Linked DNA regions of Caenorhabditis elegans. The protein of the gene in region 4 purifies or fractionates together with the protein of the main gene of each other region. This does not show direct contact. Each region holds a gene or a part of one and is shown on either strand. Other genes may lie near its edges.

Evidence for each region.
Region 1: the proteins of lbp-7 (region 4) and marb-1 fractionate together in Caenorhabditis elegans (co-fractionation; one large-scale study listed by BioGRID). This does not show direct contact.
Region 2: the proteins of lbp-7 (region 4) and F33H2.6 fractionate together in Caenorhabditis elegans (co-fractionation; one large-scale study listed by BioGRID). This does not show direct contact.
Region 3: the proteins of lbp-7 (region 4) and Y26E6A.3 fractionate together in Caenorhabditis elegans (co-fractionation; one large-scale study listed by BioGRID). This does not show direct contact.

What each region holds. Positions count from the first base shown.
Region 1 is NC_003282.8:12,204,986-12,212,860, reverse strand, and holds marb-1 (Isochorismatase domain-containing protein 1), read left to right. Parts: upstream 1-3,850; 5' UTR 3,851-3,853; coding exon 3,854-3,933; intron 3,934-3,990; coding exon 3,991-4,168; intron 4,169-4,219; coding exon 4,220-4,561; 3' UTR 4,562-4,673; downstream 4,674-7,875. Other genes in the region: phy-2 (Prolyl 4-hydroxylase subunit alpha-2), read left to right, coding at 268-321, 559-624, 1,322-1,420, 1,467-1,649; F35G2.3 (uncharacterized protein), read right to left, coding at 2,124-2,273, 2,320-2,604, 3,067-3,153; F35G2.1 (Sulfhydryl oxidase), read right to left, coding at 5,626-5,703, 5,748-6,311, 6,368-6,433, 6,874-7,456, 7,505-7,623.
Region 2 is NC_003279.8:15,011,920-15,020,658, forward strand, and holds F33H2.6 (Regulator of microtubule dynamics protein 1), read right to left. Parts: upstream 4,677-8,739; 5' UTR 4,661-4,676; coding exon 4,392-4,660; intron 4,333-4,391; coding exon 4,156-4,332; intron 4,000-4,155; coding exon 3,863-3,999; intron 3,502-3,862; coding exon 3,371-3,501; intron 3,195-3,370; coding exon 3,003-3,194; 3' UTR 2,935-3,002; downstream 1-2,934. Other genes in the region: pole-1 (DNA polymerase epsilon catalytic subunit), read right to left, coding at 1-133, 181-800, 849-1,179, 1,232-1,870, 1,915-1,955; dog-1 (Helicase ATP-binding domain-containing protein), read right to left, coding at 5,554-5,782, 6,598-7,053, 7,311-7,399, 7,837-8,001, 8,080-8,203, 8,254-8,412, 8,486-8,634.
Region 3 is NC_003284.9:13,906,118-13,914,792, reverse strand, and holds Y26E6A.3 (Methyltransferase-like 26), read left to right. Parts: upstream 1-4,842; 5' UTR 4,843-4,906; coding exon 4,907-4,987; intron 4,988-5,064; coding exon 5,065-5,199; intron 5,200-5,480; coding exon 5,481-5,567; intron 5,568-5,615; coding exon 5,616-5,684; intron 5,685-5,856; coding exon 5,857-6,018; intron 6,019-6,139; coding exon 6,140-6,220; 3' UTR 6,221-6,422; downstream 6,423-8,675. Other genes in the region: Y26E6A.2 (F-box domain-containing protein), read left to right, coding at 1,824-2,282, 2,421-2,879, 3,245-3,568.
Region 4 is NC_003283.11:13,876,012-13,884,079, reverse strand, and holds lbp-7 (Fatty acid-binding protein homolog 7), read right to left. Parts: upstream 4,529-8,068; 5' UTR 4,525-4,528; coding exon 4,312-4,524; intron 4,167-4,311; coding exon 3,966-4,166; 3' UTR 3,867-3,965; downstream 1-3,866. Other genes in the region: T22G5.3 (F-box associated domain-containing protein), read right to left, coding at 159-306, 2,094-2,672, 2,812-3,039, 3,088-3,164; T22G5.1 (GP-PDE domain-containing protein), read right to left, coding at 6,131-6,269, 6,318-6,795, 6,883-7,243.

The DNA.
Region 1 (7,875 bases), on a different chromosome or scaffold from region 4:
AAAGACAAAACTCGAAGAATTCTTGAAATTCTAAAAATCGAAAAATCGTTTAAAATTTCCATTTTTAGATATTTTCGTTTTTTTACAAAAAATTGAAAATTCCTTGTGTCCATTTTTGAGTTTTCTAGGCTAGTCACATCAGCAAAAAGGTCTAAAATGCCTTCAATGCCTACAGCCTAGAATATAGGCATTAGAGGATTCCCCAAGTTTTACTAAAAATATTAATTAAAGTTTATAATATTTTCAACAAAATTGTTGCTGTTTCAGGTAGCTAACTACGGTCTTGGAGGTCACTACGACCCACATTTCGACTTTGCCCGGGTAATAACAATTTTCAATTCTTTTTTATAATTTCAGATTGCAAATTACGGTCTCGGTGGTCACTATGAACCACATTACGACATGTCACTGGTTGGTTTACTGCCTTCCTGCTGACTTGTCTTGCTGCTAATTTTCAGAGAAAAACTGCCGAATCGTACGGTGGAAATGGTAATCGTATTGCCACTGTGTTATTCTATGTGAGTTTTCGATTCAATTTTAATTTTCCGTATTTTATAGAAAGAAGAGAAGAATGCATTCAAGACGCTCAATACTGGAAACCGAATTGCGACTGTTTTATTCTATGTGAGACATGTTTCATTTATAATTAATGGTTAATAAGATTCCATCACGAACTTTTTATTTGCATGAAAATTCTTTAGCTGTTATTGCATGAGGTGTGCTAATCCAAAAGTATGTGATGGAATCTTAACGTTTGAACTTTTAAATTTGTGATTTTAGCGCGTGGGAGCTGTGAGAAAACGGAAAATTTTTAAGGGGTCTTAAAATTTTACTGTTGATATTTAAAAATGAGGTTTTATAGTTTTTTGGCTCTATCGAACAATTTTTATTATTTAATCTAATAATTATCTTCTTTTTATGATTGTTTAGCTGAAACTGATGTATTTTCTAATGCCTACTTCTGGAAATTCGATAAATTCGAAACTGAAAATAACAATATCAAAATTTACTTTAAACTCAAAGAGCAAAAATCGTTCAAAATATAGTCAAACATTCACTCTCAAGATTTTGATTTTTTTGAAATTTTCAAACTTATTGGGTTCATAATTTTTACAAATAAATAGATGAAAAAATAGTAATATTTGAAAAGTTTACAAACTGATGTTTATATCCTTTTGGTACTGACCTAAATTACGAGAAAAGTGTGTGTGACGTCACATTTTACAGACGCGAAAACCCGACAGTTACTGTAGATCAAACACATTGTCAGATAACTAGAACGAACCCTCTGTTTCTCCTTGAACCAAACAATTTTTTTCAGATGAGTCAACCAGAACGCGGAGGAGCAACCGTCTTCAATCATCTTGGAACTGCTGTATTCCCATCGAAAAATGATGCTCTCTTCTGGTATAATCTTAGAGTAAGTGTTCATTTCTATTTTTCCTCGCAATTTGGAAATATTTCAGAGAGATGGAGAAGGAGATCTTCGTACCCGTCATGCTGCTTGTCCAGTTCTTCTAGGAGTTAAATGGGTCTCAAATAAATGGATTCACGAGAAAGGACAAGAATTCACAAGACCATGTGGATTGGAGGAGGAAGTTCAGGAGAACTTTATTGGAGATTTGTCCCCATATGCCAATGATCCATAGATTTGATTTTTTACTCTCTTTTTTGTTTTTTTTTTTAATTTCATTGTTGCTTACTGGTGTTTCACGGTTCCAATATTTTATTTGATCGCCAAAAAATGAAAGTGTTCTGGTTTTAAAGAATGAGTTTTTGATATTCTGAAATCTAAATTCAAAGCTGTTTATGCCTGCTTCATGCCTGCCTACATCAAACCTACATCAAACCAAGATTATAGTCATGTCTACTTCATGACTATAATCTTGCCTATCTATGTTCCTACCTATTCAAAATATAGTCCAACATTTAAAAATCCTGTGAAAAAATCACGGTTGTGGCTTGGATTAAAAATGATTCGATTCAAATCAGCATAAATATCTCCCTACGTGCCTGCCTGCCAACAACTCTAACAAACATGTAATTGTACCTGATACATACAGTTTTTCCTTGCCATACTTTATTAAGTTAATCAAAAATTATTTCAAAATTATATGGACAAATTAAATATTATTAACTTTAAAAAGACTTTTAATTTTATTATTTTCCTTATTTTCTTCTTCACTTCCTTGCAACGCACTCTTTAAGTCATTCTGGAAATTTGTTTTGTTGAACTCGATCTCGAATTTAAGCAGTTCAATCATTTCGTTTTTCTGAAATTATAGTTTTAAAATTTAATTCCATGTAAGAAATCCGAACCTCTTTAATAATCTTTCTGGCTTGTACCAAATCATCAACCAACTCATTTGCATCTTCCTCCGCAAATTCCAATGATTCCAGTTTTTGGCTCAATTCCTTTATCACCTCGTTTCGCTCTTTCAGTTTTCTCTGAAGTCCACCAATTTTTGCCACAAAATCTCTTTGATGCATTCGAATTTTGATTAAATGATTGCTGATTTTACTTCTCTCTATTTTCATCTCCTTCTGGTGCTCTTTAATCATTTCCTCACTAGACTCGCACATTAATTTTAGTTGGTAATGAGCCTGCAAACGTTGTATATAAAAAAGAATGTCAAGATGCCTGCCTACATGCCTGCCTACCACCTAGCTCTATACATTTTGGCATGCATTCAGGAATTTAGTGAACCTCTAGAAAGTAAAACTGGGAAAATTTCCAAAGAAAATTTAGTTAATTTTCACCAAATTTTCGAAAGTTTTTTTTTTTAAAGTCAAACATTTTCCAATAAAATATTTCGCATTTTTTTCAAAAAAAACACATTTTCCCAAAAAAAATTCGATCCGTTCTACTGTCTATTTTAAAATTTAATAAATCTTCTCAGCTTTAAACACCTCTTAATTTTTTATGAGGGGCTCCAATAAATAGCTTGAGGGGAACACGATTATTGGAATTTACTTTTGAAATTGAGAAATTTTCAGACTCTCGAGAATTTCATTGATAATGCTAATAAAATATTCAAAAATATAAAAAAAAACAACAAAATTTACCTTTGCCTTTTCCTCAACTATTTGCAACATTAACAGAGCTACAGTAACCGCGTACAGTAACCCGAATAGAATCGGGAAATTATCCATTGAAAGTGTCATATTCCCGTCTTGAAAGATATTAGTTAACCACGACATTATAAAATAAAAAGATTGTCTTATAAGATAAGTAACAAACGAATGAATGAGCCGGTCGTCTTAGTCAACGGGTCAAGTGTTTCAGCCGCGTTCGTGAATCAATAAGAGCTGGAATTGCCTCCTGGCATTAGTGACTGTAGTCCACACTTTCTACTGCCTAAATTATCCATACAGGGCAATGTGATCAATTGATCAATAGGTTATTAAATATAACTATTTTATGCAGTGCAGTGTTTCATCCTTTTGGGAAAATTCACGGAATCAACAGGTGAATTTATGTTTTTTAGGGTGTGAACACAAATTGTTAATGTTATAATTGTCCTGGAGAGCCTTTAAACATTTTACAATTAATATATTATAAATAATACGTAGAAAATCAGTATTTGAACAGGAAAGTAGACATTTTAAAAATTTGAAATTTGAAAAACCGCCACAAACTCAAGCAACGACACTCCGAGATTACGAATCGCGCGTTGTTTACCGTAAATTTACACTAATTTTTGTTCTCTGAAATTTTTTTTTAATTGAAAAGCCGTCCATTTATTTATCTTTTTTTGTCAAATCCTTGTGTTTTACGTGGATGTTTGCATTTGTTTTTTATTTATTTAATTTCGAATCACTCAACTTTTTATTGATTTCTGTTCCTCAGGTGATGGCTGCGCGTAAGCTGATCGCACGTATCAACCCAACGAACAGTGCTCTTTTCGTCTGTGATCTTCAAGAGAAGTTCGCGTAAGTTTTGAAAGAAACTAGTTTATGAGCAAAAATAATTTATTTAATTATTTTCAGGTCAAATATCAAATACTTCCCAGAAATCATTACAACTTCGCGTAGATTGATCGATGCTGCCAGAATCCTGAGTATTCCAACCATTGTTACTGAACAATATCCAAAGGGTCTCGGACACACAGTTCCAACTCTCAAAGAAGGTCTCGCCGAGAATACTCCGATCTTTGATAAGACGAAAGTAGATTTTCAGATTTTTGTTCATAATTCAGTCTTATTCCAAAAATTTCAGTTTTCCATGTGCATTCCTCCAACTGAAGACACTTTGAAGAAAGTTCAAAATGTGATCCTTGTCGGAATCGAAGCACACGTATGCGTTCTTCAAACTACATACGATCTTTTGGAACGTGGCTTGAACGTTCATGTCGTGGTGGACGCTGTCAGCAGCCGCAGTCACACTGATCGTCATTTCGCTTTCAAACAGATGGAACAAGCTGGAGCTATCTTGACAACTTCTGAAGCTACCATTCTCGGACTTGTCGGTGGATCGGATCATCCAAAGTTCAAGGAAGTTCAGAAGTTGATCCTTACTTCAGCCCCTGATACTGGCCTCGTCCCGTTGTCGAAGCTCTAAATGTTTTCCGTTTACGGCTTCTTTTTTTGCCATGTAGATTTGTGTTTAGTACCTCACTATGTGTAATTACAGCATTTAACCGGTTTTCGTCCCATAAATTATGGTGGTAATTTGAGTCTTTTTGCAAAACGTTTCTTTCATCGCATCTCCTTGCCACCGTTTGACCATCACATCATGTTTCAAAAGTGTGGGTAAACATTCCGAAATTCGCGGAAACGAAATGCGCTTTGAAAATTTCAAGTGGCTCACACAGTAGAGCCCGCTAGTCCATTGACCTCCAATGTTTGTAGTTTGCGAAAATGATGGTGACGATGGTGCAAAGAAAACTTTCAGTTTTTTTTTTCAGAAAAGTCAGGTTTGTACAACACACATGCCACCACGTGGCAATGAAAAAGGCAGAGGCAACAAATAAATTGGAAGCAGAGACAATAAAATGGGTGGGTGATCTGATCTGTTGTGACGAACAAAATGATGATGATTGGATTCGCGAGCTGTTGATGAAATATGCAGAAATGAATCGAGAAAAAGAGAAGAAAAATACCCAAATATTCAAACAGACAGACGAAAAAAATGTTTTCCTGATTCGAGGAACGTGTTTTCTAAGTGGAACGACGGCAAAATATGGGTTGGTCAGAACGAGAGAATGAAGAAGCACAAAGTGAATATAGTATGGGTGATGTGGAAGGGGGTATGCAAAATTGGAGAGAGAAATGGAACCCGCATCAATGTAATACAAATTGTGTGTGTGGTCAGGAATCATGATGGGAATCTAGTGGGGGAAATGAATTAAAAACTTGGACAAAAAAAACATCTAATCGATCGAAATCTGGAAAAAAGAAAATAACAACTGATCGGGATTGAAGACGAGTAAAAAGGGGTCGAATGATAGGAAGTATCAGGTGAAAGTATATGTTCGAGGTAAAAAAGTCGTTTCTTGTTATAAATTGGGGGAGAACGAGCTAGGATTGCAGGCATTCTAGAAGGCATCTTGAACTTATATAAATACGAAGGAGATTATTTACATCATTATATAAGTCTTTTGAAGACTATTAAAATAAGTTCGTTCAGAAGGCGAGACGTTGATCTGCCAGTCGATTATGTGGTTTGATGCTTCCATAATAGCGGAGTAGGAAGTTCCTTATCTGAAAAAAAAATTATATTTTTCAGAAATGCCAAAAAAACAAACCTGCCGCCGCGAAAACTGTCCTCCAGAATGACACGTTGGACATAAGAAAGGTGCTGGGAACTGCATTTTCGTGAATTGTGGATCTTCTGTCGAGTCACCATGCAACCGATTGTTGACAATATTATGAGCTCTCCAGAGATACGTCATCATATCGTGTGGATGACGAACTCGTCGTTCATTCAATGGGAACAGTGTCGTCGTCATATGCATGAAATGATTACGACAGTGTTCACATCCGAAATAGCTCTTCACCCATCCCTGAATTGTGCTCAGTGGTTTCATTGGATTCACATAGTCATCTTTGATTGTATCAATATATGTGTGAACAGTAAGAGCGTGGAACGTTGTCCATAGACCACATGTGTATCCACGATACATTGGAGATGATCCTTTACAGTGTTGCCATGTCGAATTGACTGGGAATGGGCTGGCGTAGACACGTTCCACACTTTCGAATTGTCGACGATATTCATCAGATGAGACAGAACCAATTGATTTGCGACCTTCGAGGAATTCGCGCATGTGTGTGAACACAAGACGAGCTCTCTCAGAATTACGAAGAATCTGAAAAATATTTAAATTTATTCTTGGAAATTATTTTCAATCAAAAGTTTACTCACCACAGACGTTGTTCTCTTCGCGCGCATTCTTCTGATGTCATTTTGGAAGGAAAGAACCGGGAAGTGCTGAAAAATGTCGAGATAAAATATTTTTTGTAAATTTTTATAGCATCCAAAGCCAGGGTGTTGGTTTTTCGATTTTTCACGAAAATAGGAATTTTCGTTTTTTCCAATATTTCGAAAAAATTTCGATTTTTCTGAAAATTGGAAAAATTATATCTTATGTTTTTTCTGATCAAAATAAACGAAATTCGATAAACTTTTTATTGTTTTGTTGAAAAAACTTTTTTTCAGAGAAAATCCTCAAACTATTAATAATTGAAAATTAAAAAATTTCGATTTTTCTGAAAATTGGGAAATCTGAAATTTTCGATTTTATGTTCAATTTTTGGATTTTCTTTGAAAACTATTAAAAAAATGTCGTTTTTCGATTTTTTTCTTTTAAAAAACCCGAAAAAAAAATCTCGATCTTGTCTAAATCTGTCTTCATCTAAAAAAATACGTACATTTGATAAAAGAGTCATAAACTCGTGCAAATTGGTGAAGTTATCGCCTCGGATTGCTCCTGGAACTCGGGTGACCTCGTCGAGAAGAGCCATACGCATTGCTTTGAGCATATCAGTCTCAGAAACATAATACATATCACGACACCGTTCTGGATGTGAGTGACAATCGATAAGTGGAGTATTAGTGGTTGTTGTAACTGGAGCCAACGTCGTCGTCAGAATTGGTGCACGTCTTCCACCTTGTTCCATATCATTTGTGATAGCATCATCAATATCTTTTACAGTTTGATTTGTGTATCTTTGCATGTAGAGTGCTTGTTGATGGTCTCTTCTGAACAGTGCAACAGTTGGGAAATTGCGAATATTGAGCATCTGAACGAGTGGTGAATTCGAAAGTGCACGGCGGGCACCAAGAATGTGACTTCGGGAGATAAGATCCATAACGAATTGAGCACCAACTCCATCATACTCTTCAAATAGAATTGCCATATAGTTTGCTTTTTGTGGAACTCCATCCCAAAGTTGTCCATAAGTGGTACGGCTGTCGACGGCAATGTGTCCAAGGTTTGGCCAATCAGGATATCTGAAAAAAATCAATATTTAGTAAATAATTGTATTTAACACAAAAAACCTGTTGAACATGTACTCGTTGCTAACTGTTCGTAGCAAAGCATCTCGAATCTGTTCAGCAGAATGTGGCGTCTCAAACAGTTTTCCTTGAGTCGCTGTTGTGGCCGTCCTTGCGAAGTACTGTAAGAATTATGAATTTTCTTCAATTATTTTAATTTGCAAAATCTTGACACATTTTTTTCTTGTTTTAAAGTGCGAACAGTCCCCCCATTGCTCGCCTTGTATCTCCAATAGAAAAAAGAACGAACAAACGCGCAGCACAATTGCCTCTTCTCAGATTTCAATTTAAAAAAACGTCTTTCGGTCTCCTTGTTCAAGAGGGCGATTCACGTCAATCCGGTGGTGAGAAAACAAATAATCGATTGCGGGTCA
Region 2 (8,739 bases), on a different chromosome or scaffold from region 4:
AACTTCAGCGCACTGCTCATCAAAGTCAACGACCTGGTCAAGAGTGACCTCAAACTCTCGAGCCAGCTCCTTGCGAAGGGTCTCTTGAATCTCGGATTTTAATTGCTCAAGAGCAGGAACGGAAAGCCGGAATCTGAAAAAATCGTTATTTTCTCGCTTTCAAATGAATCCTGAATTTACTTTGCTGGAATATCCGCTCTGAATACGCCGGCCTCCAGAGCTTCCACGTGTCCTCCGACATAGGTCTCGCTCTCAACACGATGTCCATCTTTACTGAATCTTGTCTCCTCTGGTCCAGTGTACTTGTTCGGGAACACAATATTGTTATGGAATGCTTCAACCATCAGAAGAGCTTCACAAAGTGTTCCAGATCCTTTTCTCAACACGTCATCTGCTCCTAGTGGGATAATTGTGCACAAAGCGAAGATAAATTGATGAACATACTTCATGTAGAGATAATAAGTGGACACTGCATCCGAAACCGAGTAATTGGCCAGCTGTTGAGGCTGCTCTCGAGCCATTTTGCACATCAGTTCCGGCTCCACCTCAACTGGATCATATCTCAGCTTTGCCTTCGTCACTGCCTTCAGATTCTGACTTCCAACCGGTAGATATGAGTCACGTTTGACCCATCGGAAAGCGTCCATATGAATACAATTTCGTGATTTGTACTCATCGGCGGAATCCTTAGAAAATCCGATTTCCCTTTCCATATTGAATCCGCGGATCTTGGCACGAGCTTCTACGAATGGCCAATCGAAGAAATCTCCATTGTAGGTGACAACAATATTTGGACGAACCTGCAAGAAAATGATTCTAATCAAATTCAGTTTAAAAGTAGAATTTACCTGCAAAAAATGATCGAAAAATTTCCGAATCAGAGCAGCTTCGTCCTTCTCATTCCAGACTGTGAATTCTCCTATGTACTCGGCTTTCGGTGTGTATTCGAACGCATTAATATCAGCCGACACGATTTCTCGGTTGATAATCAAAAATCCACGTCCATCAACCATATATGATATCATCATAATTTCATCGCTCTCACGATCCGGAAATTTCAACGGAAGTTTCGTTGTTTCAATGTCAAAGGCGAGAACTTTCGGCTTTGCGTGGAACAAGGGCAAATCTTTTCGCTTTATTGTTGGAACACGGTTCGGGCCAATTCCTTTCACATCGTACCTGGAAATTTATAAATTTAGAATTTAAAAAAGAAGAAAAGGATGATTCCAACCATAATCCGACGAAGATCTTTTCATCGATGGAAACTCTCATGTGAAAAGGCACGTCGTATTCTCTGATATCAACAATTTGATTCAAGATGTCACCATTCAACTGTTGATCCTTACTATCTCCTCCTTTTCCACTCAGATTCCTCGCCAAATAGTCAGCGTACGCCGACTCTTTTTTGATGCGATCTGTGTTTTTCCGCACCAGCGGCATTAATTCCTTACGGATTTTTATCAATTCCACGGTGCTGGTGAATGAGAGTTTGATATATGTCTTCTTCAACCCAGAAAGATGATCTTTCAAATCTAAATCCTCCCGATCCATATGTTCAACTGCTGTCTGGGCTCCGTACTTCTTGGACAGATAACTGGATACTTGGAATTCAAATCCATCCAACGTGGCAATATAGAAATACGGTCGAAATGGGTAACTGATTTTGAAGCGTTCGTCCATATCACTGATGAAGAAATAGTCAACGACCGAAATAATAACTTTGGTTTGCTCGTCGACAAGCTCCGAAGGTTGGATGTTTATCAGAAATCCTTTTTTCTCCTGTAGTCCTGTGTATCTAGAGAAACCAAGCTTCGCATCAATCTCATCATTTGATCTGATCAGGGCAAGCCGCTCTTTGTAGTTTGAATCACTAAAAAAAGAAGATTTTATACTTTCTCCATTCTTGAAACAAACTTTTCGACCGCCTGTGCAAGAATGTCATCCTTGGAGCTCATTGAGCTTGCTGGCGATGACCGAACTTGTCTGAAAATACTGAAAATCAAATAACTAAAGAAAAAACTAGATAAAATGGCAAATTTAAGTTAATTTCATGGGAAATCGAGTTTAAAATGCAAGATTTCGCGCGCTCGGCCAGAGGACGAGTTGGGTGGAATTCTAGGCCACCAGATCATAAAATGGAGGGAAGGAGCAGAATTTGAATTTTAAAGCAATACAATTGAATTTCCGAGAGGCACCACGGAGGCACCACGTTTTCAAGATTTGTTCAAAAACAAGATCTACGAAAACAAGATCCACCAAAACAAAATCTACCTTTTCAAGATCTACCAAAACAAGATCTACGTTTTCAGGATCTGGCACCGTGCCAACTGCGGTTTTCTCTACGCGTGCGTACGCGTGTTGCGTAAATTCTAGAAGAAAATTTCAAAAAATATTCGTTTGAACGCTAAACAACACGCGAACGTAACATCGGAGCATCGTTGTTTCGTTTTCTTCGAGAAAACCGCAGTTGGCACGGTGCCAGATCCTGAAAACGTAGATCTTGTTTTGGTGGATCTTGTTTTCGTAGATCTTGTTTTTGAACAGATCTTGAAAACGTGGTGCCTCGCACCACGGTATCAAGATCTGGTAAAATTCCGGATCTCCGTTTTCCGGATCTACCATTTCCGGATCTACGTTTTCCGGATCTGGCCAACTCTTAAAACGCTATTTTTCTCGGAGAAAAACGTGACAACGATGCTCCGTTGTTAAGCGTCGCGTGTTGTTAAGCGTTTCTTCTAGAAGAAATTTTCAAAAAACAACGTGCGTCGAGTGAATAAAAAAGCGTTTTGTGGGTTGGCACGGTGCTAGATTCGGAAAACGTAGATCCGGAAATCGTATTTCCGGAAAACGTAGATCCGGAATTTCACCAGATCTTGAAACCGTGGTGCCTCATTTCCGACAATATTATTTAGCTGACATTAGACAATTATTAAATTCAAATAAATATTTTTATTCTGTTAAAAATTACAACAATCATCTTACAAATACATATTTTTCACAATCTAAACAACTTCAGTATCCTTGACTCCATATTTCTTCAGTTTCTCGTATGCTTTCTTATGAATAACCGCGTCATCAGAAGTCACAACTGGCATTTTGAATGATTGTTTGAATGCATCAAGTGCTTCGGCTTTTTGTCCTAGTTGTTCGTACACTTCGCCAATGTAGTAGGTATTCGTACTGTAGAATCCGGGCTGAAAATTTGAATTTAACTATAATGATCTGAATTTTTCGTGGCACTATTTACTTCCCAAGTGGAGGAAAATGTTCAAAGTGTAAAAAAATTTGGTCGACAACTTTTCATTTTTGTATGTTTTTGATTGACTATGAGAGATTCACTAAAAGTGTTTGAATTCTGATATTTTTTTACCGAAATCTGTTCAGCCTTTAGGAAATAGTGTAGAGCCTCCTGATATGTGGATGCTGGTGGAGTTGCGAAAATAGCTTTGGCCACCATTCGAGTCGCGTAACCCATATTGGCGAAGGAAAAGTGCCAGACTCCTGAAATTTGAGGTTTTCTTTTTAATTCTCGAAGCGAAATGCAGAAATATCTAAAAAAAATAATGGTTAAGCACCGCCCGCCCCCGTTGATTGAACGGTGAGCTGTAGAGCTTTAATTCGGAATAAACACGGGGTGTCAGAAAGTCTCATTGCGGTTTGATCTACAAAAAATGCGGGAATTTTTTCCCAGAAAATTTGTGACGTAAGCACACTGTTAACCATGCGAAATCAGTTGAGATGTCTACGTCTCACCTCCCGCATGTTTCGTAGATCAAAGCGAAAAGGGACCGTCTGACTCCACGTGAATAAATTCTAACATGATTTTTCTTTTTTTTTCTCTGTTCAATCCGGAATCCCTTACCCAAAATATGCCACGTTGTTGGATCGTTCTCGAAAATCGATAACGCCTTCTCTAAATGTTTCCGCACTTGGAATGATTTTTCGATTCTCGATTTGTTTCCCTCGATCTCTCCAACGTAATCCAGTAGAATGGCATACCTAAAGATAGCCATGTGGCATAGAAAATGCTAAAACTCAGCCGCCAAAAAAGGCAGGTGCTCAGTTTTCGATTTCCACCCTCAGTCATAGTTTTTTTTTCTCGCAAAATTGTGTTGTTCTACCCGGAATAAATAGCGTTTTAACTCCAAATCGTACCATTTATGTGCTCCAAAGCATCCATTCTTTGGCTCATTGTCAAGAGCTTTTTTCACAATTCCATAGGCTTCCAAAATGAGCTCTTTTCGTTGATTTTGATCTTTTGAGAGTTTTCCTTTCTCACAAACCACACGTGCCAGACGCCATAGAAGCTCGGAGCAATTGGAATTTTCAAATCTTAAAAATTGGAAAGAAAAGTTAAAATGGACATTTCTAAAAGTTAATTGAAAATTCACTTTTTCAAAATATTATAACAATTATCGATTAGATAATTATCATAAAGTTCATCCGAATTTCGAACAATTAAATCGAAATTTTTCGGTTTTCCATCAATTAATTGTCCATTTCCTGAGTCCAAATTCTTGTTCTCTTCAGTTTTTCCAAAAAATGCGATTCCAAGCGAGGTTCCACCAGTGATTGCAATTAATTTCGGAAGTTTTGGAGAAGATGTCGGGCGGCGAGAGAAATTCGAAATAAAACGGAGATTGAATACTCGTTTGAACATTTTTTTTCTTCAGAGGCTGCAAAAATTAGACAATTTTAAATAAATTATAAATATTGAAACAAAAATATATTATTAATTTCGATGGCCTTTTTCCAAGTACATAGGTAATTTTTCAAAAAACTCATACTCAAAGACGCATTCACTGAATTATTCCAACCCCCTAATTCCGAATATCTTTAAATTTTTTAAACTAAAAAAGCCTTAAATTTATCGTTTTTTTTTTCGAAAATTCGGATTTTCATCGAGTTGTGATTTGGATATAATAAAATGTTCAATTGACACGGAAAAAACAATTTTCCAAATAATAACCAAAAAAAAAGTTTTTGAAAAAACATGACAGATGGTGAAAAATCCCGTAAATCGACACAGCACGGTGCGCCCCAATGAGACTGCCTCTGGCGCGTTAAGTTTTGGGTGCGAGATTTCAAGCTGAAATATTAAATCCGAGAAGTTTTTTTTTAATTTCACAAAGATATTCGGAAAGAGTCATACGCCAAAACCTTTTTCGAACAAAATGAAAATTTGAAAATTAATTTTGAACACTCGAAAGGGAAAAATTTTGCGTTCAAACTGGTTCCAGGCAAGTTTTAGAAAAATTCTCGTAGGCTACTGAGAACGCTATAATGTTGTCAGCATTTCACAGTTCAAAGTACAAGTGGTGTAAAGGTAAACACTGATAAGTGATAATGAGAGAAGAGAGAAAAAGTTCGGCCAAGCTTTATGAAAATCGATTTGAAAAAAGGGGTAAAAACAATGCATTAGGGAGATTCTAACTTTTAAAAAAGACGTCTAAAAATTGTTTAAGAAAATGAGGAAAAATCATAAATTTTACACGTAAAAAAGATAAGGGGCGGGGGTTTTAATCGAAAAAAAAAAGTTAGAAAAAGTTTAATTCATTCACAAAAATTCTCTTTTTTTGCTTTCTCAACAGCGTGTCGACGCTGGATGAATTCGCGAAAATTCGCATTAAATTCTTTAAAACTCGGATAGCTTTTCAGTTGAGCACGAATCCATTTTGAGACACGAGCAGACGAGGCTCCGCCCACAAGATTTCCAGTTTGACGTTCTAGGCGTTCATCGATCATTAGCATTGCTCCCCAGTCGTTTTTGTGCCGGAGACATCTGAAGATTTAATGAATTTTAGATTGTAGTGAAATTTGGCCAGATGGTTTTTCTACTGATTCCCTTATTTCACGTGATATTATAGATTTGATATTACGGGAACACTAAATCCTGAGAATGCGTATTTTACAACATATTTGACTCGCAAAATATCTCGCAGCGAAAATTACAGTATTTCTTTAAAAGTAGCGCTTATGCCGATTTACGGGCTCGATTTTATTTTCGAATTTGGACAGTGATATTCAATTTTCCTTCGTTGTTCGTATTGTTTAGTCATTTTTGTACTTAAAAAAATTTTATTCATTAACCAACTGTTTTAATAGAAAAAAACGTGTAATATTGCCTTCATTTTGATGAGGAAACTCCTATTTACAAACGTATTTTTACATTATTTCCCGTCTATTGCAGGTTTTCCAGGTGAAACCCGGCAATAGACGGAAAATAATGTAAAAATACGATTGTATGAGTTTCCTATAAGGCAATATTGGACGTTTTTCATTTAAATATTTTTTTTTAACACAAAAATGACAAAACAATACAGAAAAAAAAAGACAAATTAAATACTGCTGTCAAAATTCGATTAGGAAATTCGAAAATCGAGCCCGTAAATCGACACAAGCACTACGGTAGTCATTTAAAGGATTACTGTAGTCTTCGCTACGAGATATTTTGTGCGTCAAAAATGTTGCGCAAATTTCAGAATTATGTGTTACAGTAGAAAATTGCTGTGTTTTGAACATTTGTAGCATAGCATAACATTTTTTAAATAAAAAAAACGTAGTTTTTATTCCACGCGGCTTTGTATATATATTCACCTTCCCAAAGCCTGATTCAATGCTCGATAGGCCTGCGTGGTATACCACTCATCGCCAGTCAAAATCCCCTTTTCCTTGGAATTCTGATCATTATACAACTTTTTCGCATTCACTTGATCATCCATCGCATTTGGATACGGAATTCCGACAGAAATCACCACACGCGCACGATCATCGGCAAAATCAATGCCCTCGGAAACTTTTCCACGAAAAACGGCAAACATAAGAGATCCGTTGATGTTTGCACCGAATCTAGACGGATCGAAGATCGCCGCATCGAATTGATCCATTACTGATGTTAATTCTGAGGATCTTCGCGGCTCGTAGAGCACAACTTTTTTCATTTCGATTTGTCGCATTGTTGAATTACGGATCATACATTGTTTTAATTGATCTAGAACTCGATAGCTGGGGAGAAAACATAGAATTCCTGCTGGCACGTTACTGCATACATACCTGCAAAAAATGAGCTGATTTCTTAACATTCGAAAATTTTCCAACAATTGGAACATTTTTCAAGGCTTTTGTAACTTTTTATAAAAAATTAGACAAAAACTAAGTTTTCCGATTTGAATTTTCAGAAATTATATTTGTTTTAAACAAGTCTTGATTTAAATAACCTAAACAAAATTTGACATTTTTGTTGAAAATCTATTCATTTTTTTCAAGTCTCTCTGAAAGTAGAAAATTCGAAAAATAATCCGCCAACGTACTTGATAATTGCTCCAAGCTCGCAATAAAATGAAGATTCCGGATCTGACGTGTTGCGGTACGTGCACTGAATGCGATTTCCAAAGGGACCCTGGAATTTTTAAATCAATTAAATTAATAAGGCTTTCCTTTTTATTTTGGTAGTTTTTAGACCGTATTTTCGAAAATAAACCTTGTATGCTAGCCGGAGACTTATAGGACGAATGACATACTTTTTCAATGCTAGCATTAATGCTAAGTAAATTAACATAAATTTGCATCAAAAATTTTAAATCCTAATTCCTGCCTCATTTTGGTTTGATCTTCGAGAAATGAGAAGAGACGCAGACTTTTCAACTGATTTCGCATGATGAAGAGTGTGTTGACGTCACATTTTTCTGGGGTAAAATTCCCGCATGTTTTGTAGATCAGCCTGCAATGAGACTGTCTGACAACACGTGCCCTGTCATCTCTTTAAGAAATAAATTTCATTCGTTCGGTAATTCTCAGGGCACCACACGACGCTACCTAACCAAATGTTTTCCTTACAATTGGCAAAACCGCTGCGAAAATGTTATCCTTATTAATGACTTGATCTCCTTCTACTTGTTGCTTGAATTCCATTCCTAATTCGGTTTTCAAAGTGTCCATTGGGCACAGAGTACCCGATGCGAGGACTATAGAACGTGTTTCGTTGAATGCGTCGAAGAAAGACTGAAATTTCGATTTTCACGCTTGAAATTTAATTTTTGTATTAGTTTTATAGAATTATAGGACTTATATTGTACTAACCAATGCTGGACTCATACACCACAAGCTGATCGTAGTCTTGCAGCCCTCTGAAATCGGTTTATGACCCGTCTCTGACATTGACGGATCCTTCCAATCGTCTCCGTCAGCTGCAGCATCTGCTAGCCTGAAAATTGAAACACATTTTTTCATATTTTTAAAAATTGCTTTGAAAACCATGCGTTCTCCTCCTTGTACTGCATGTTTCTGGGTCCCGCCGAGCTTCTTGTCGTTGTTGGTCTTGGATTTCCAAATGAAGTCGACATCGAGACGTCTGCGTCAAAAGTATGATTGAATCGCCCATTTTGATTTATCGGCTCAATAGAGATGTTTAACCTGAAATTGTAAATTTTTGTAGTGTTCGAAAATCCAGAAACCGAACTTTCGTTAATGTTTCGAAAATACCTACCTATACGTGGATTGGTACTGCTGATTTCCAAAATATGACTGAAAATACAACCATTTCTCTATGCAGACTATCGCTGTAGAGCTTGGCTTGAACGCGTCAAAGTACTGCATTTCAGGCTCATTATGCTTCGTAATCGCACTGAAAGACGCCTGAAATCAAAGAAAATTCAATTTGTGATTTAACTTTAAATAATGATTTTTTTGAACAAATTAGAAAATTTTCGAAAGATTAAACATTTCTCGAATTTTTTTTGC
Region 3 (8,675 bases), on a different chromosome or scaffold from region 4:
TCATTTCAGGAGTATGTAACTTGCCAAACATTATTTAAAACTGAGTTTGTCTAATGCACTATCATTCTGAAGATAAGTAGCACCTGATCTACCAAAGCATGTTAATTGAAATCTATAACAAATATTATCAAAAACTTCAAGCGAATGCGGCCACAAAGAAATCAACTTTTCTTAGTTCCTCGTCTTCGAGTTCACACGTCACTCAATGTAGCTGCAAAAGCGCTCGGTTGCACTTTGAAAGGTCCGCGCACCTCGATATGCACTCTTCACCACTTGAGCCACTTTTTTGTGCATTTCCGTCGTTTCTCTTCGTTTTCGAAGAGATCTTGTAGACGAGAAACTGCGACATCCTATTGATCTGTTCCTCAAAATATGTTTTATGCGTTCTTTATGTGAAAACTCTTTTTTAGGTTGTATGTATTATACAGGGTGACAAGAAATTATAGCAACAAGGTCAAACCGTGATAACAACGTTTGGAAAATAGATAAAACAGCGAAACTTATTCAGAATTACAAGTAAGTATTTGTGAAAAAAAAAATAGAGGGACGACCTCTAGAACGACTATAGGTAAGCATATTGTGTCCTTCATTTCATTTCAATTGTAAGTATTTCCTAACATAATGATTATGTAAGTTTTAAACCACTTCATCAAAACGATAGATATAGGCTTTGCCTAATTATTACTGATGTTGTGAAAACATGCTAAAATCAGCATGCCAAGAAAGTCACATTTATTAAAATTTATTCTTATAACAAATTTTTACCTAATGATACATTTATTAAGCACCAGATCATCAAGTCCAATACTCTTTTCTATCAAAAAAAAAAAAACTCACTGACTAAGCTGCCGGCTCTATTTTTTCTGTTTTTCTCTTTTCAACTGTCCTCGCCATGCCCTCGTCATCTACTTTTCCAGAAAAGCTGGCTAGCACTGCCTGGCACGAAGGGCTCTCTGTGTGAATGTGAAGCCTGATTCGGAGCCAGCCACTGCATTGCACCGTTGCTTATCTTTCTCTCTAGATCTCTCTCGCTATTCCATTAACTTCGTGTGCTCAGTGCTCGCGCCCTTCTCGTTTTTTTTTTCTGGCTTTAATTTTTTTCTCCCTCGGAGAATAATGAATTCGGGAAATTGAATTGGACGCTGGCTTCTTGAACTAAATTTTTCCGCTGCTGGCATTTCTCCGTTTCATTTTTTAGCCTATAGCATGTCAATTTAAAAATGACAAAATATACATATTAATTATTTTATTGCACTTGTCCTTGTGACATTTCAGAGTAGTTCTAAATTTGTCCTTTTGTTATAGTATTCGTTTGGCTTTTTCTCTTTTTTCTGATGTCCAGTGAACGGAATGAAATTAAATACTCTCACTATCATAATCACATGATAGTTAAATTTCTGAACTCAGGTTAAAAAAATTATTCAACTTTTGGTTTATTCTCAATGCCTATAATTATTAAAAATTTTATGTCTACTCCATATTCTCCTGTTTCTTTTTCTACTGGTCGCATGAAAACACAAGTTAGTAGAATATGCTATTGATGAACATTTTTATGAGGTTTTCATATTACATTATTAGCTGTTTTTGTGTGGCTGGTCTTAGCTTTTCTGGCGTGTAAGAAAGTTCCAGTTTAGTCTTAAACAATACACATAGTACATACACATATATCCCTCTACATTTATTTTAAAAATTACTGAGAGTGAACTAGAATGAAACACGTAGAAATCCCACTTACATGCAAATATATGTACTTCCAATAAACTTTTCTTTACTATTAACGAGCGTTCAATATGTTCTAACATTCAATTTTTCAGAAAAAGAACATGGCCGACCTAGACATCCTGGAATTGTTTCGGGCCGTTCCATTCTTCCCCGATGCAAAAGATCGTGTCAACAATGAAATGAACCGTATGAAGGAGGACATGGAGATCCTTCTCAATACATGGACCGTTGAAGAAATCCGTTCAATATTCAACGGGCCCACACGTTATAGGTGCCTAATTGAGCAACTTCAAGGTGAAACTCTAACGGAAAAATGCAGCAGTGCGTTGAGAGTTGGTGGATTCACATTTCTCACTGATGCTATTCATCTCTGCGACTTTACGATGGCAGAGCATCTTAGGCTTACAAAAATGAATGTGTTCTCTCATCTGATCTCTCGTGACAACTTCTTCCGGCCGAAAAGTAAAAATGTGGAAACCAAGCACATCGAGCAAGATGATGTGAAATTGTTCGATCTCTTAAAACTTCCTCCGGAGATGATAGAGCAGATCATGCAACGAGTAAGTTTTCAATTCTGGGAAAATACTTCTAAAAATAAAAAAATCTGAATCTCTCCTTTTCAAAAAAACAACGTTAAACACTTTTTGAGCAGATGCACTTCCAACCGGATGATTCCTAAGATTAAAAAAAATTTTCAGTCGGCTTACAAAGACGCTCAAAGTCTAGCAATCACGTGCAGTGCTGCCAATAACATTTACCGACAGAATAGTCTGAAAATGGTGCTCCCAGATGTCATTTTGATTCTTGACTTCTCCAGTGGCGAGATGAATGTCCGATGGATATTGGAGAAAAATCAACAAGAAAATGAAAGCGATCCAGACTCTGAAAAATGCTTGAATCAATCCGAAGTCAACGAGAAGAAGAAAACCCAGCTGCTGCGTAACACAACTATTTTAAAAATTGTCACCACTGATGATTTCGAACCGGAATACTGTGAAGCTGTGCACAACTTCGTTGGATCCAGAACATTTAAAAGAATCATTGTCAAGGGTTTCGAGTACACGGAGAATTTGAAAATGATGGTGGAAATGTTTGACAAAGAAGTTGTGGAGATTGAAGTGAACGCACTAACTGACGACTTCATTCCGTTCCCAGATGTGAGTTGTACTTAGAATTTGAGAAAATTTGAATTTTTCGTGTTATGGTTTAAAGAGCGTTCCAAAAAAGTAGGATCATGCAATAAGTTAATAAAAATTCCAATATCCCCTAAAAGTTTTAAATGCAATAACTGAGACGCAATTCAATTTTAAAAGTATAGATTTTTTTTGGCCGACTTCCAATTTTTTTGACCATAATTGCAAACTTTCAAGTTTTTAAAAATAATTTTTTACAATTACATCAAGGCAATTTAGTACTTCATGAGCTGATTTAAATAATTTCCCTACTGAAAATACTCTACATTTTAATTTAAAAATAAATTTAAAATAAACAAGTGTTATGTAGAAGCAATACAAATTTTCAGATCAAAACCATATCCATCCGCGACACTCTCAACAGGGATCACGGAGAACGGCTCTTTTCTGCGAAGCATTTTGTCAACATCAATTGTGCTCTCAACAATATCGACACATTCCGAAAAGCTCTTCGTGATTGGGATAATGGACACCGAGAAGTTGGTAGATGGGTAATTCTGAAACAATTCACCATCTTCCAAACACCCTTTGGTAGACGTCATCGGCCGAAGACTTCCTTCCGAAAGGGGTATTTGGAGTTTATCAGTGAGCTCAACTCATCACAAATGCCACATGGAGAAATAACCGAATACGTTTTTCACGAGACTAATTAACATGATTCTTAGCGAAAATGAAACCAACTAATCTACTTTTATGAGAAAATTATTTATTTCTTACATTCCCTAAAATTTTCTATATAACAATTTTTCTATAGTTTTTTATAACAGTTTTTTGTAATATTTGTTGTCACTAATTCTTGTTCATCTCAAAAACTATTAGACTCCAACCCGGTTTTTTTTTCACACAGCTCATTCCACTTCTAAGTTATTGTTTTGTTTTGTCAAATCTCCAATTCCCAAGCAAATCTATTATCCAGTCATTCATGTTGATGAAACAATAAACTTTGGTACACTTTTTGTAGATTGGTTTTCGTCATGCATTTTCAGTAGTAAAAAAATCTAAAGCGTGATACATTTACCGCAAAGTAACATTTATGGGTTAATACTGTGGTATAACAAAAATGGCCTCAAACAACCAAATATGTACCACCTATAGTATGCCAACCGGCTTAACATGTGCCTAAATCGATTAAAAAACAAGAAGTAAAAATAGAAATATGCCTAATAAGTTTATAATTAGAACAAATTAATTTCAGCGTTCTGCGAGTGCTGATTTCAGATGAATTTGATTTTTTCTTTTGAAATTTTATATATTCGTTTTGAGTTTTGTTTTACTATATAATGTCGAGATTTGATTTTTCTAGGAAATTGATAAAAATATTTAGGTTCAAATTAAAGTATATAAAAAAGCAAGATCTAAAAAAACTCGCAGAAAACGCGCTCTTTTAATTTTTGTCTTATTACTAAAATTTTCAGCTGAATTAGTTTCCATTTAATATTTGAAACCTTTTAAAATACTTCTAAAAGTTGAAAATTATTAAGAAAAACAAAAATTTCACGAAAAACAAAACAAAACATTGATGCCCTACTTTCTCTGGCCTTATACGTGGCAAGGCTTGCAGCTCGCTTTGGCTGGCAGGACACGTGTAACTTTTGCACTCTCATTTTTTTCACAGTTTTGTAAACAAAATCTCTTTTTAGTTTCTTTTTTCTCTCTTTTAACCGTTTTTTTTTGCTATTCCTCTTTTAATCTGCCTTTTGCGCATTTACACTGTACTTAACTTTTTGCCGTTCGTTCGCTCTTCTTCCCATGCATAACACTTGCCATTCCTCCTTTTTTCCCACACAAACAACAACTATCGATTTCTGGTATTCCAATCTTCTGTTGTTTTTTTTTGTTTTCTCTCTTACCAGTCTCTTCATTCTGGTTAGCATCTATCTCAAACTGTTATAAACCCTATAAAAAGTGCGCGCGCGTACCTTTCTCTTTTACCACTGACTGTTTCACATTTTGAATCAAATAACAATTGAACGTAGTTGCAGCGATTGGTGATGTTGAGAGCGCCAGCTGCCGAATCGAACAAGGATGTGATTTTGGAGGTGTTGAGAAGATTCGCAACATCTGGAAAGAAAGTAAGTTTTTAAAAAATGTGTTTCACATTTTTTTAAAATGAAAACATTAACGATATATATATATTTTTTTTTTTCAGGTGTTCGAGCTAGCTTCTGGAACTGGACAGCATATGGAACATTTTGCACGGGCTCTGCCGGATGTCACTTTTCAACCGACTGAAGTTAATGGTCGATACCTCCATTCCATCGTTTCTTATTTGGATCAAAGTCAGGTTAGTCAGCAGTTAGTTGCCCTGCCCAAATTTCCACTTTTCACAATAGCAAAAAAGAGATAATACTTGAATTAAAATGACTGCATTTTTCCACACTCCTGTTGAAAAACCTTTAAAAAATTTTAATTGCCAGCAATTGACAGAATGTTTTAACAAAAAACCACACTCCAGACTGTTGGGGTGAACAATAATTCTAAACTAATTTTTGATTTCTCTTTTTTTACAACTTTTTATGAAAACTCAACTTTATGTTTTTGTAACCATAAAGTAATATTTTTCAGTTTCCAAACGTCCGCATCCCCCTCTTCATCGACGTTGCAAAACCATTCAATCAATGGGCTCTTCCTGCGGATTTCGGACCTCATATGGTAAATTGTTTCCAGACTATATTGGAAAATAACTTCGTTTTTTTTCAGGTCGACATTGTTCTCAATATCAACATGATTCACATTTGCTCCACGGCTGCAGTTAAAGGCCTTTTTCAAGTAAGTTTTTTTTTTTGATAAATGTCAAAGGTGAAATACGAATTTCAAAAATAGTAGGATAAATTTCAATGGGACTGAATTTTTTCTTCAAGTTGCAAATAATTTTGAAATAAAAACAAATTTTATCACATCAAATTCAAACACTTCTGAACTAATTTAACCTTTTTTACAGTCTGCCGACTTGCTTCTTCACGAGACGAACGGAATCCTCATGACTTATGGACCATATGCAGAGGATGGACACATTTCACCACAATCAAACATCGCATTTCATACAAATCTGAAAGCTGAAGATCCGGAACATGGCCTCAAGGATATCAAATATCTGGAGAGGGTAAGGAGATTTTTTTTTAAAGTTAATCTCGGTTTTATTACCATGAAACTGAACGCTTAGTCAGAATTTTTTTCGAGAATTTAAATATAAATTCATAGTTTATAACATATTGAATTTTCAGCTTGCAAACAGTTCGAACCTCCGTCTTGCCGAAAAGATTACAGTTCCGAAGAATAATTTCATTTTGATCTTTTCCCGTTAAACGCTTGTACTTTTTATTTTCAATCTGTTCTCCTGTACTTGTAATACTTGTAATACGCTAGATTTTCAGCGATGCATGGCCTTGATAACTCCTTTTAACTGCAAATAATATTTGCAATATTACGCTCTTTAATATAATATAAAGCATGTTTGATTTCAATATTCTATGATATATGATGATTTTAAAGCATTTTCAAGTGTAATTAATTTCTCCATTTTCAGGTTGAAGTCGATATTAACAGTTGTCTTTTTGAAATGGATTCCAAATTGCTATTTAAAAATTTTATTCAAATATTTTACCTATTGGAAAATAATTACTCTTTTCAAGAAACCATTTTCGAACTTCCTCAAGAAACGTTTCAAGTATTGAAGCAGGTGTTTTGCCACCTTCATGTTATGTTTCTTTGACGCAGTTATTTCTGGTCTAGTGAGCAGAGCCGATTCTTGGTGTTAATGTGAAGTCATTCTATAACAGTGGAACTAGACATTTCAAAAAGAAGTGCGCGGATGTCAAATTAAAAAAAAAACTTAAAAAAAAAAATTTAAAAAAACTCTGGAATTAAGAAAAGATTGACTATATGGGTGATTGTACGGATATTTTAATGCTTTAAGAATATTTGATTGGCATTACAGAAATAGATTTTGTTCGTTCTGCTGAATTTAAAATTGCAGCTGAACCCAGCAGCATCTAAGCACAATTACTAATTTTGCTTGTTTGTATGTTTCGATTTGCTATCACCAAATAGTTTGCGCGTGTGATTTTTATTTTTTTATTTTTAAGCGTTTCATTATTTTTTTTTAAAGTTTTATCATCTATCATTTTGTGACAAGTAAAACTTTGTCTGGTTTATCTGATCTGACCAGAAATCGCACAAACGGGTAATAATCCTTTTAGCTTAAAAGTATGAACATTTCAATGTCGCTCGAGTAAGATCAAAAAATCAATCTAAGAAAAAATAGCGCTCAACAATAAAAAGTATTTTTATATTTATTTACTTCATTTTATTTACGATCAGCTTTTCTTTTAAATTTGAATTTCATTTATTTGTGTGCAAGCTGCTAAAAAAGTTTCTTGATGCATTAAAAAACAATTGATTTCAATATTCATATTACAAGTGCGTGGAAACTTCTGGTTTTTTTTTCAGTTTGTGTGATTTGTAACAAGTATACAACAAATGTTTATAGGCAATTTTCCAGTTAAAACATCTGCTAGGAGATCAACAAAAAGTTCAACAGCCGGAAAATTGGAATTCTTGGTTTCCCAGCGTGATTTGTGTCGAATATTGAAGCTACATTAATGAGCACCTTCGATATTGGAGATGGTAAGTAGTTTTTCTGTGTATTTCTGAATTGATGTTCCAGCTAATTTGTGAAGTTTCGGCAGCTCAAAAACTAAATCCTTCTTTTAAATGTTGTAGCCTACGGGTTTTTTACCGTCTTCGACAAAATTGAGCTATGTCTCATCGGATTCAGAATCATACATCATACATGAATCATACATGAATAAACATCGGTACATAAATACGAATTTTGTGCAAAACCCCAGGCGTTCTGTTTTACACTTATTAGATGTCAAAGTGAAAAGTTCAACCAACCATAAACTTTGGAAAGTGTAAAATTTAAAAAAAAAACGTGTCTATACCCCATCAACTGTATATGAAAGATTCTTACTGATAAAATATCTCATCGTGAAAGGTGAGCTTTCCCTTTTTGTTTGGTTTTTTTTTAGTAGAAAAGTGGTAGCAATTTTGATACACGTCTCATTTGTGACCCAATCACGTTTAATGTGCCTCTATGAAATCTTTGAATATTTGTATTTTTGATTGAGATCAAATTTAGGTATTTTTCAAAGATTGAATTTTCTTACCGTAGTGATGTGGTATTCAAAATGTACTCTTGTAGTATAAAATTTTGTGCTTTGCGGTAATTTCTCTACCAACTTTAGCAACTTTGAAGTTGCCAATCGCAAAAATTGCTGAAGATGGGCAAAGTCTGTTAAGTTGGGGGTTAGCACCTCAGCTGCATCAAAATTAACTCAAATTGCTAGAGTTAGATGAAAAACCGAAGTATTAGTTTTTGACCCTGTTTTGCAGGAATGCAGAATAAGAACTAGTTCAAGATGATTACAAAATTGCAGATGTTTTTTTTTCAAATCACGAAACCACGCGTTAAACGTACATATTGTTTCCATATTTTATGACAATTAACAACTTAGACAACATTTATTTTATTAATCCTGAACGTATTTTAGGTACTTTTCAAACTCGCAATGTTTCATGAATCAGATTTTTCAATGGCTACCAACAATGCAATAGTATATTGTATTCTCACTCTATCAATAAAATCTCAAATTCGAAACAAAATTGAAAAAAAGGTTTTTTATAATGAAGCCTCAAACTGTTTTAGTTAAATAATTTAAGTACATTAGCCAAATAATTTCATTTTCAAACTTTTTT
Region 4 (8,068 bases):
ACAATTTAATTATGGCTTACAAAAAAACAATTCAAACTGTTATTTAACAACCATATTTGAGAATAAACTCAAAAAACATTATAATATTCAATTCTCGAGGAATCTCTGTCGGGGAATGTCGAGAATCGAGGAATGTGGAATCGACATGTGCCCGGACATCACTTGTTCCAAAGCGAGAACTTCACACATTTTTTATCCAAAATAATTGTCGCCATTCGATTATCACTTCTTGTAATCAGTGGACCCAGTGATGTTTCATTCCTTATTCCAAACAAGATCTCAAAGGATGAAGGGGGATTGTTGAGTCTGGAAATGATATATAAATATACCAGCCGTTCGCACGCGCTGAAGCGCGTGCTCCGACTGGCGTACTCAAAATTGAAATCAAATTCTAAATTTTCTAAGCCTTCTTTGCAGATGGAACGTTTTTTCCCTGGTTACCGGAAATTTTCGAGCAACATAAATATTATATAACTAAGTTCTGAGCAATTACAACTTAAAACCTCAAGTTTCCTGGAACTATTTCTAAATTTCTTGAACGTATAATTTTCTCTACGTTCTTAAAATCATATGAAACATTTTCCGGTCCTTTCCGAAAGTTTTTGGCGAGCGTTTCTGAAAATTATAACAATTTTTGATATTTTTTTAAAATTATTGAAACTTCAGAATATTCTAGGAGTATCAAAGCTTGAAGAAACACCGTCACGCGCAAATGCATACACTTTTTTCAACGCGCTGCGTGAAAATTCCTCTTGCGATTTCAAAGTTTTTTCCCGCCATTTCAGTGTCCAATGGAGCGCGGGGTCGAGCCAGAACCCCCGTGTAGAACTTTGCAGAAGTTTCTTGAATTTTTCCACGAAATTGAACATTTCAGAATTTTATCGAATTTTTTAGAGAGTTCTGGAACATTGCAGACTTTTCCCGATTTTTCTAGAAAGTTCTGGAATATTCCAGAATTTTCCCGAATTTTCTAGAAACTTCTGGACCATTCCAGAACTTTCTAGAATTTTCTAGAAAATTCTGGACCATTCCGGAATTTTCTCGAATTTTCTAGAAAGTTCTAGAACATTGCCGACTTTTCCCGATTTTTCTAGAAAGTTCTGGAATATTCCAGAATTTTACCGAATTTTCTAGAAAATTCTGGACCATTCCGGAATTTTCTCGAATTTTCTAGAAACTTCTGGAACATTGCAGACATTTCTCGATTTTTCTAGAAAGTTCTGGAATATTCCAGAGTTTTCCCGAATTTTCTAGAAAATTCTGGACCATTCCGGAATTTTCTCGAATTTTCTAGAAACTTCTGGAACATTGCAGACATTTCTCGATTTTTCTCAGAAATTGGAATTTTCCGCCAAAATTGTTTTTCACTGAAAATTTGAATTTCCCGCCAAAATTTTTTTCACAGAAAATTTTAATTTCCCGCCCAAATTTTTTCACTGAAAATTTGAATTTCCCGCTAAAATTTTTTTCACTGAAAATTTGAATTTCCCGCCAAAATTTTTTTCACTGAAAATTTGAATTTCCCGCCAAAATTTTTTTTCACTGAAAATTTGAATTTCCCGCCAAAATTTTTTTCACTGAAAATTTGAATTTCCCGCCAAAATTTTTTTTTACTGAAAATTTGAATTTCCCGCTAAAATTTTTTTCACTGAAAATTTGAATTTCCCGCCAACATTTTGGGTCTCACCACGATTGGTCTCACCACGAAGGGTCTCACCACGAAAGGTCTCACCACGATTGGTATCACCACGAAGGGTCTCACCACGAAGGGTCTCACCACGATGGGTATCACCACGAAGGGTGCCACGCCCACTATTCTCACTGAAATTTGGGCGTGACGTCACAGACTACAAAGACTACATAGACTACAAACTCCGGACAGACGAACTGTATTTTTTTATATATAGTTAATGATATTATAGAAATTAAACATTTTTGTAAATTTAAATTCTTGAAAATTAAAAATAAAATTCTTCAAAGGTTTCTGACTGAATTTACTGGACATTGAACAAAAAACTTGGAGTTTTGAAAATTCCTAGGGTTGCTGTAGATTTGAGCCTCTAGAATGTTTAGAATAAAACTTGACAACTTACAAATCTTGTTTTCTTTGAACGTCCTCCGCATTTTTAGTTTGAATTCCATCAAGAATTTTATCCAAATCAGGATCTTCGATTTCAATTTTGAAGGATTCCAATTTTGTATCAGCTCCATCCAACCATTTTTTGATATAAGCATTCAGATCGTTGTTAGTTAATTTGGTTTTATCAATCACCAAATTTTGGCAGTTAGTATTCAAAAGATCCTGTCGAGTAAACCACGGTGCAGAACATATTTCAAGATTATCATGATTGAACTCCAATTGAATTGAATTTTGGTTTTCATAGTTGAAAAAGTTTAAAGTAAGTTTTTTCTTGGGAAGAATTTTCACTTTGAATAGATGAAACTCTTTGTCCGTCAAACGAAAGTATGTGATGAATGTCAAATCGTCGACTTGGTTGAGTCTATCCCAAGCAATGAAATTGCAAATATCGTCGGTTTCCTCTCGGCTGATGTAGACATTTAATTGATTCGGTTTGAAAATGTCAAGCATTACTTCTGCAATCTTAATGCAGGCAATTCTGTCGTTGTCACAATATGATTCTATCACGTATTTATCTCGAAGTTGATGACGGCTGAAAAAAAAACCCTGAATAATTTTCCGAACGTAAAACAATCAAATATTTTGACAGATCAAAAAAAAAAGTTATTTCGTAATTGTTTTAGGCCCCCCTTTCTGCCATTGAAACTTGAATGAATAATTAAAGAACTCACCGATTCTTGATTTCCATATTGTCAATCACAAAACTATCGATTTTCCGTTTTGAACCTTTTAGGGGCTTGCTTGACTTGTGAATCTTCCAATAGATGTTCCTTTTCTTTGTGAACTGTACATCTATTAAGCAATAATCCTCATAAATATTTAGCCAAATGAAGTTTATAGGCTTTTTGAACATTTTCACATGATTTCTTGATTTATCGGAGGATAGAGCCAAATTTAATCTACAAAATTTTTAATTATTTGAGCCTGAAAAGAATTCTGAGACTTACAGTGCCATTTCATTTGTTTTTAGAACTGTGTCTTTCAGTGTGACGTACGGGAGATGGAACAGTGGAAATGCGGGCATTTCTGAAAAAAGGGAGTTTGATGGATAGAACACAACGGACAGAAAATAATAAGTAAGAACGACGAGCATGAATAAGAACTGGAAAACCTAACATATAGATCGCCACACCATACTCATAAACGCTTCCAGAGAGATATTTGCTATTGAATAGAGGTCATAAAACGTAGAAAATAAGTCGATTTATCTAAAAACGATGCGTATTCAAACATTTGGTATAGTATACCTATTTGAATTGAGGTGAACTGAAGCAAAAAGATTAAATGAGAGAGTTGATGCAGTTATACAAGAATTTTCTTGTAGGAAAAAAACAGAGAAATAGTATTTTTAATTTTTGAAAGTTAGTTCACGTTTTATTGTTCAAAATTCGAAGACGTTTTGGGGTACAACTACCTTATTTGAACCATAAAAGACCGTTGGGCGTAGAGACAAAATTACTAAAAATTAAGTTCATCCACACACCTTTTTGTAAAAAAAAGAACATGTACCCCTTGCCATCTCTTTCTCCACAGAGCGCCGTTGCTGTATGTTTCTCTGCTGCCTCCTAATTTCTATGTTATTTCAGTGTTTCATGTGGGGAAGGCTAGGGTCACAGTTGCAGTTATGCGCGCGAAAATATATTAATCGAATTGGCTTTTCGAACTGCGAATATTGAAATTCTCAGATTCTGATGGATTAGTTGTATTGTTTTAATTTTCCAAAAATAGATCCAAAATGTTTTATTTGAATGAAAAACTATTTAAAAAAACCAATTTCAAAGTGCATAATTCAAAGTGCTCATAACTGCATGATTTTAAAAATAAATTATTCTCTCTCCCACTCGCGACGGCAAATGACATCTCCAGATTGATAGGTTTGAATGAGTTTTCCGTTTTCAAGCCATGTTGTCAGAACTGAACTTTTGTGATTCTCCTTGATCTTGTTCTGACGATGAGTCAGTTTTCCGTTTTCAAAAGTGAACAGAGAGTTGTAGGTACGATCATCTGGACTGTTCTCAACGAATTCCTGAAACACAAATGTATTTCTCATTTTAAAACGATATACTATTTCAATAGACACATTTGCTTTACACACACTTCTCACTTTCTTATCAGTTGATTTTTAAAAAGATTAACTCTACTCTAGTCCTTTTCAAAATTTTGCAACTAACCTCTCCTAACTTGAAAGACAATTTCGTGTTCTTGAATGTTGAGAATTGATCAAAGTTCCATGTCTCTCCATCCAATCGGATTTCCAATATTGGCTTCAAATGAGCAGCAGCCTTTCTTGTGATGAGCCCGACTCCGATTTCCTTCATGTATTCATCAAAGTTCTCGGTTTGGACCAACTTCCATCGTCCGATAAAGTCATTCATAGATGCCATGGTTCTGGAAAAAATAACTAGAATAAAAAAATATTAAAATAATAAATAGGGCACAAATTCAGAAGCTGATATGTTTCTTAAATAAACATGTGAGAAGCATAGAAGCTGATAAGCTTGGGGTGAAAACGTGGAACGATTATGATAAGAGTTTAATGATTCAACGAGTGACAGAGAACAAAGAAATTAATACAAAAAATGAAGTTCGTTGAAACTTTAAAATAAAACTCGACCATTCTTGCAAACCACAGAAGTCAAGTTTTCACAACGATTGCAAATATCAGAAAGGAAATTTGAAAATGTGATTAAAAACTGAAGTTGCCATAGTGAAATGAAATTTCTTGATTATGCTGTGTGCTACTAGTAAACTGCCAACGAATTCACATTGCTTGTAGAAGAGAACCTGGTGAGTATAATCCTTTTGTCCTTTTCACTCAAACGTTCAATTACCAAAACGATTATAGGTGAATTTCCAAATTTCAAAAGTATTTTACATAAACGGAAATCGTTATATTTGAAAATTAAAAGATGAGATTGGGTATTGTAATTTGAACATATTTCTTGAATAGTCGTGAGTTAAATGTTGCTTTAATAGTATAGAACTAAAAGAGTTAAGCTGCAATTTTTTACAAAAAATAGAAGGGTTGTATTCGAAAATGAAATAAAATTATACCATGAAAATTATGAAATTAAATTGATAAAATGTTCAAAATAATAATCTTCGATAAAATTCGTATTTCTCTCTGAATAAAAAAGTCTTGCCTAATGAAAGTGCCATCGTTTAAATCCATTTAAATAGAGACGAGGTTTTGTGTCAATAACTAATAGTACATATGCATTTTAAAGGAATTTTGTGATTTTTTGTGACAGTAGCCTAGAGAAAAGTCTGAAAGGGTTTACCAAATCACAAAACTAAAATTCAATTCAATTAAAAATTATTGTGATTTACTGAGAGATACTGCAAGCTTGTTGGAGCTGTACCATCATTTTTATATGATATTTCATTTCTAACTCGGAAAACAAAACTACGTTGAAAAATGCCATTCTAAAAAAAGTCATTAACCGCTGCTTGATGAGGTGTGTGATGAACAACTAATGATGGAAGAAATTTGATAAGGGAACAGAAGAATGAAGAGTGTGTAGCGTAAATCAGGAATTGTGGTGTAACGAGATACTGTGTTGATGTCTTGTTCAAAGACAAACGCCATTTGAACAAACCACAATAGAATATTATCAATTTGATCATGTGGCTGATGTTTGGAAAGTACGAACGATTCAAGTCCGAATCAAGTTTGGAACAATAGTTGAATTAACCATGGCAAACTGAAAAATTGGGTTAAATGTTGTTTCCGAATTTAATAAATGCTAAAGTGCTAGTTTTTTGCAAAAATAATAAACTCTCATCAATCTACATAGTGCAGAAAAAAGCCTTCAAAAAATCAAAAGTCTGTAAAAATCCATTTTTTGGCCATTTTACTGGTCTCGAAAAAATTGAAAGTTGCATTAAAACAAACATTTTTTCAGTTCGAAATGCATTAAAATTAAACAATTAAGCTGTAACCGTGTTTATTCTTTCAAAAAACTGATACTGATGCGTTGTTTTCCCGTATTAGTGTGGAACGGTGCCAACATTGTCGGTAAGGAACGGAACTTTAAGATAATCACGAAGCCAAACTTGTTCGTATTGATTGTTACTGGTCCATCCGGCAAGGTAAATGTTGTTGGCTGCTGCATCGGTTTTTAGGAACCTTAAAAAAGATATTCATTGTGGTCGCTAGACTGTTTTTCAAAATTACCTGCTGATATCGCTAACGTGATAGAAAATCACATCGGATCCGAGGAATTTCGGAATTATCAACGAACGAGCCAAACCAAATGCGAGAACGTCAAGGACACTAGCGACAGCGTGAAGGGTTCCAGTGAATCGTGGAGTCGTCGCTGCTTCATCAGTTGTACTCAACTCCCAACTTCTCCATGTGAACCCTGTCAAAATCTTTGGATCCGCCATTTTCACAAGATATGTGTCAATCGGATTGAATCCAGACACAAGAACCTTGGAGTAAAGGTTGTAAGTTCTGATTTGAATGACAAACTGTTTGAGCAAGTTTTCATCAACATTCTTCACATCCCAAATCATCATGATGTTGTTGGCAACACAGTGAGCAACGGCTTCTTCGAAAGTTGGAAGGGAAACATTTGTGCCAATGAATCGGAGTTTACGGAATTCAGTTATATTCATTGCAGAAATTTCTTTGTCAACTCCGGTTACGCGGACTGTAATTTATAATGTTTAGTTTTAATAATCTCCAAACATCTGTACATCGGTGACTGCATTAAAATAATGTGTCAGCTACACCTCACCTGTGTTACTGTCATGACAAATGACTGGAACGCCATCCATGGTAATTTGGATATCCATTTCAGCCAGTTGTCCTCCTTCACTTTTCACTGCACTAAATGCTTCCAGACTGTTTTCCGGAATGTTGTCATGAGCACTTCCTCGATGTCCACCAATCTTCCACGTATCAAAGAATTGAGTTTTGTGAGTTTCGTTGATAAGTTGTGGGATGCGGAAGATGAAAAAAGCAAGCATGATTGCAATGGGAAGGAAGGCAAGAAGAAGGATCAGGAGACGAATGGTCTTGAATTTTAGAGCAAGAAGTGTCAAGAGATAGAAAAAGGCAGCGATGATTACCCAAGCAAGGAAAGTGAGATAGTCCATTTTGGCCTGAAAAACTTAGATTTTAGTCAGTGTATGTAAAGGTTGCAAGTGGAAATCTTTAAAAAATGAACTGTGAAGCTCATAAAATGTTTTTCAATTATATACCGGTTCGCTTCTCTTTGTTATGCATATTATGGGAATCAAAATTGAAAAGAAGAACACCAATAGAACTGTCTGTCACGTATTTCAATCCAGGAAGAAAAAAAGTGATTAAAGATCTTCTTGATATTGAACTTTTTGAACTAATACTTCACTCTAATTGTAAGTAATTTTTTTGCGTTTGCAATCTTTTTATTTGTAGCTTTTTTTGGGAAACCAAATGTTTTCCAAAAGCTCGCTTACATGCTTAATTATTATGATTCGGTATTGAAAATCTGTGAAATATGTTTCCAATTTTCTTTAAGAAGATTTTTTGTTTCTGTATTTGGAACTCACAATTTATGAAGATTATGTGACTCTCGAGTATTAAACCTTGTGAACCTTTTCATAGATTTACAAATTTTGTGAAATTTTTCAAGCATTTTCAGTTTTCAACTGCTTGGTTTACGACCCTTTTACTTTACCCTCAATTTGTATTTTTTCTATCTATGTACCTCACACGGGTATATAATTGTATAAATTGTACTTCCGGATTTCCAACCCAATTTTATACAATCTTATTCGGAACAACCAAATTTCGTTTACCATTTCGTGAACTAATTTTCGAGAATATATTTTCAGTCATAGGTTTCAGTTTTTGTATTCAATTTCTGAATTAATTGTTTTGAAGTGTTTCATGTTGCTCATGTATGCTCAAAACACAAATTTCTTGATTTTAAAGATGTT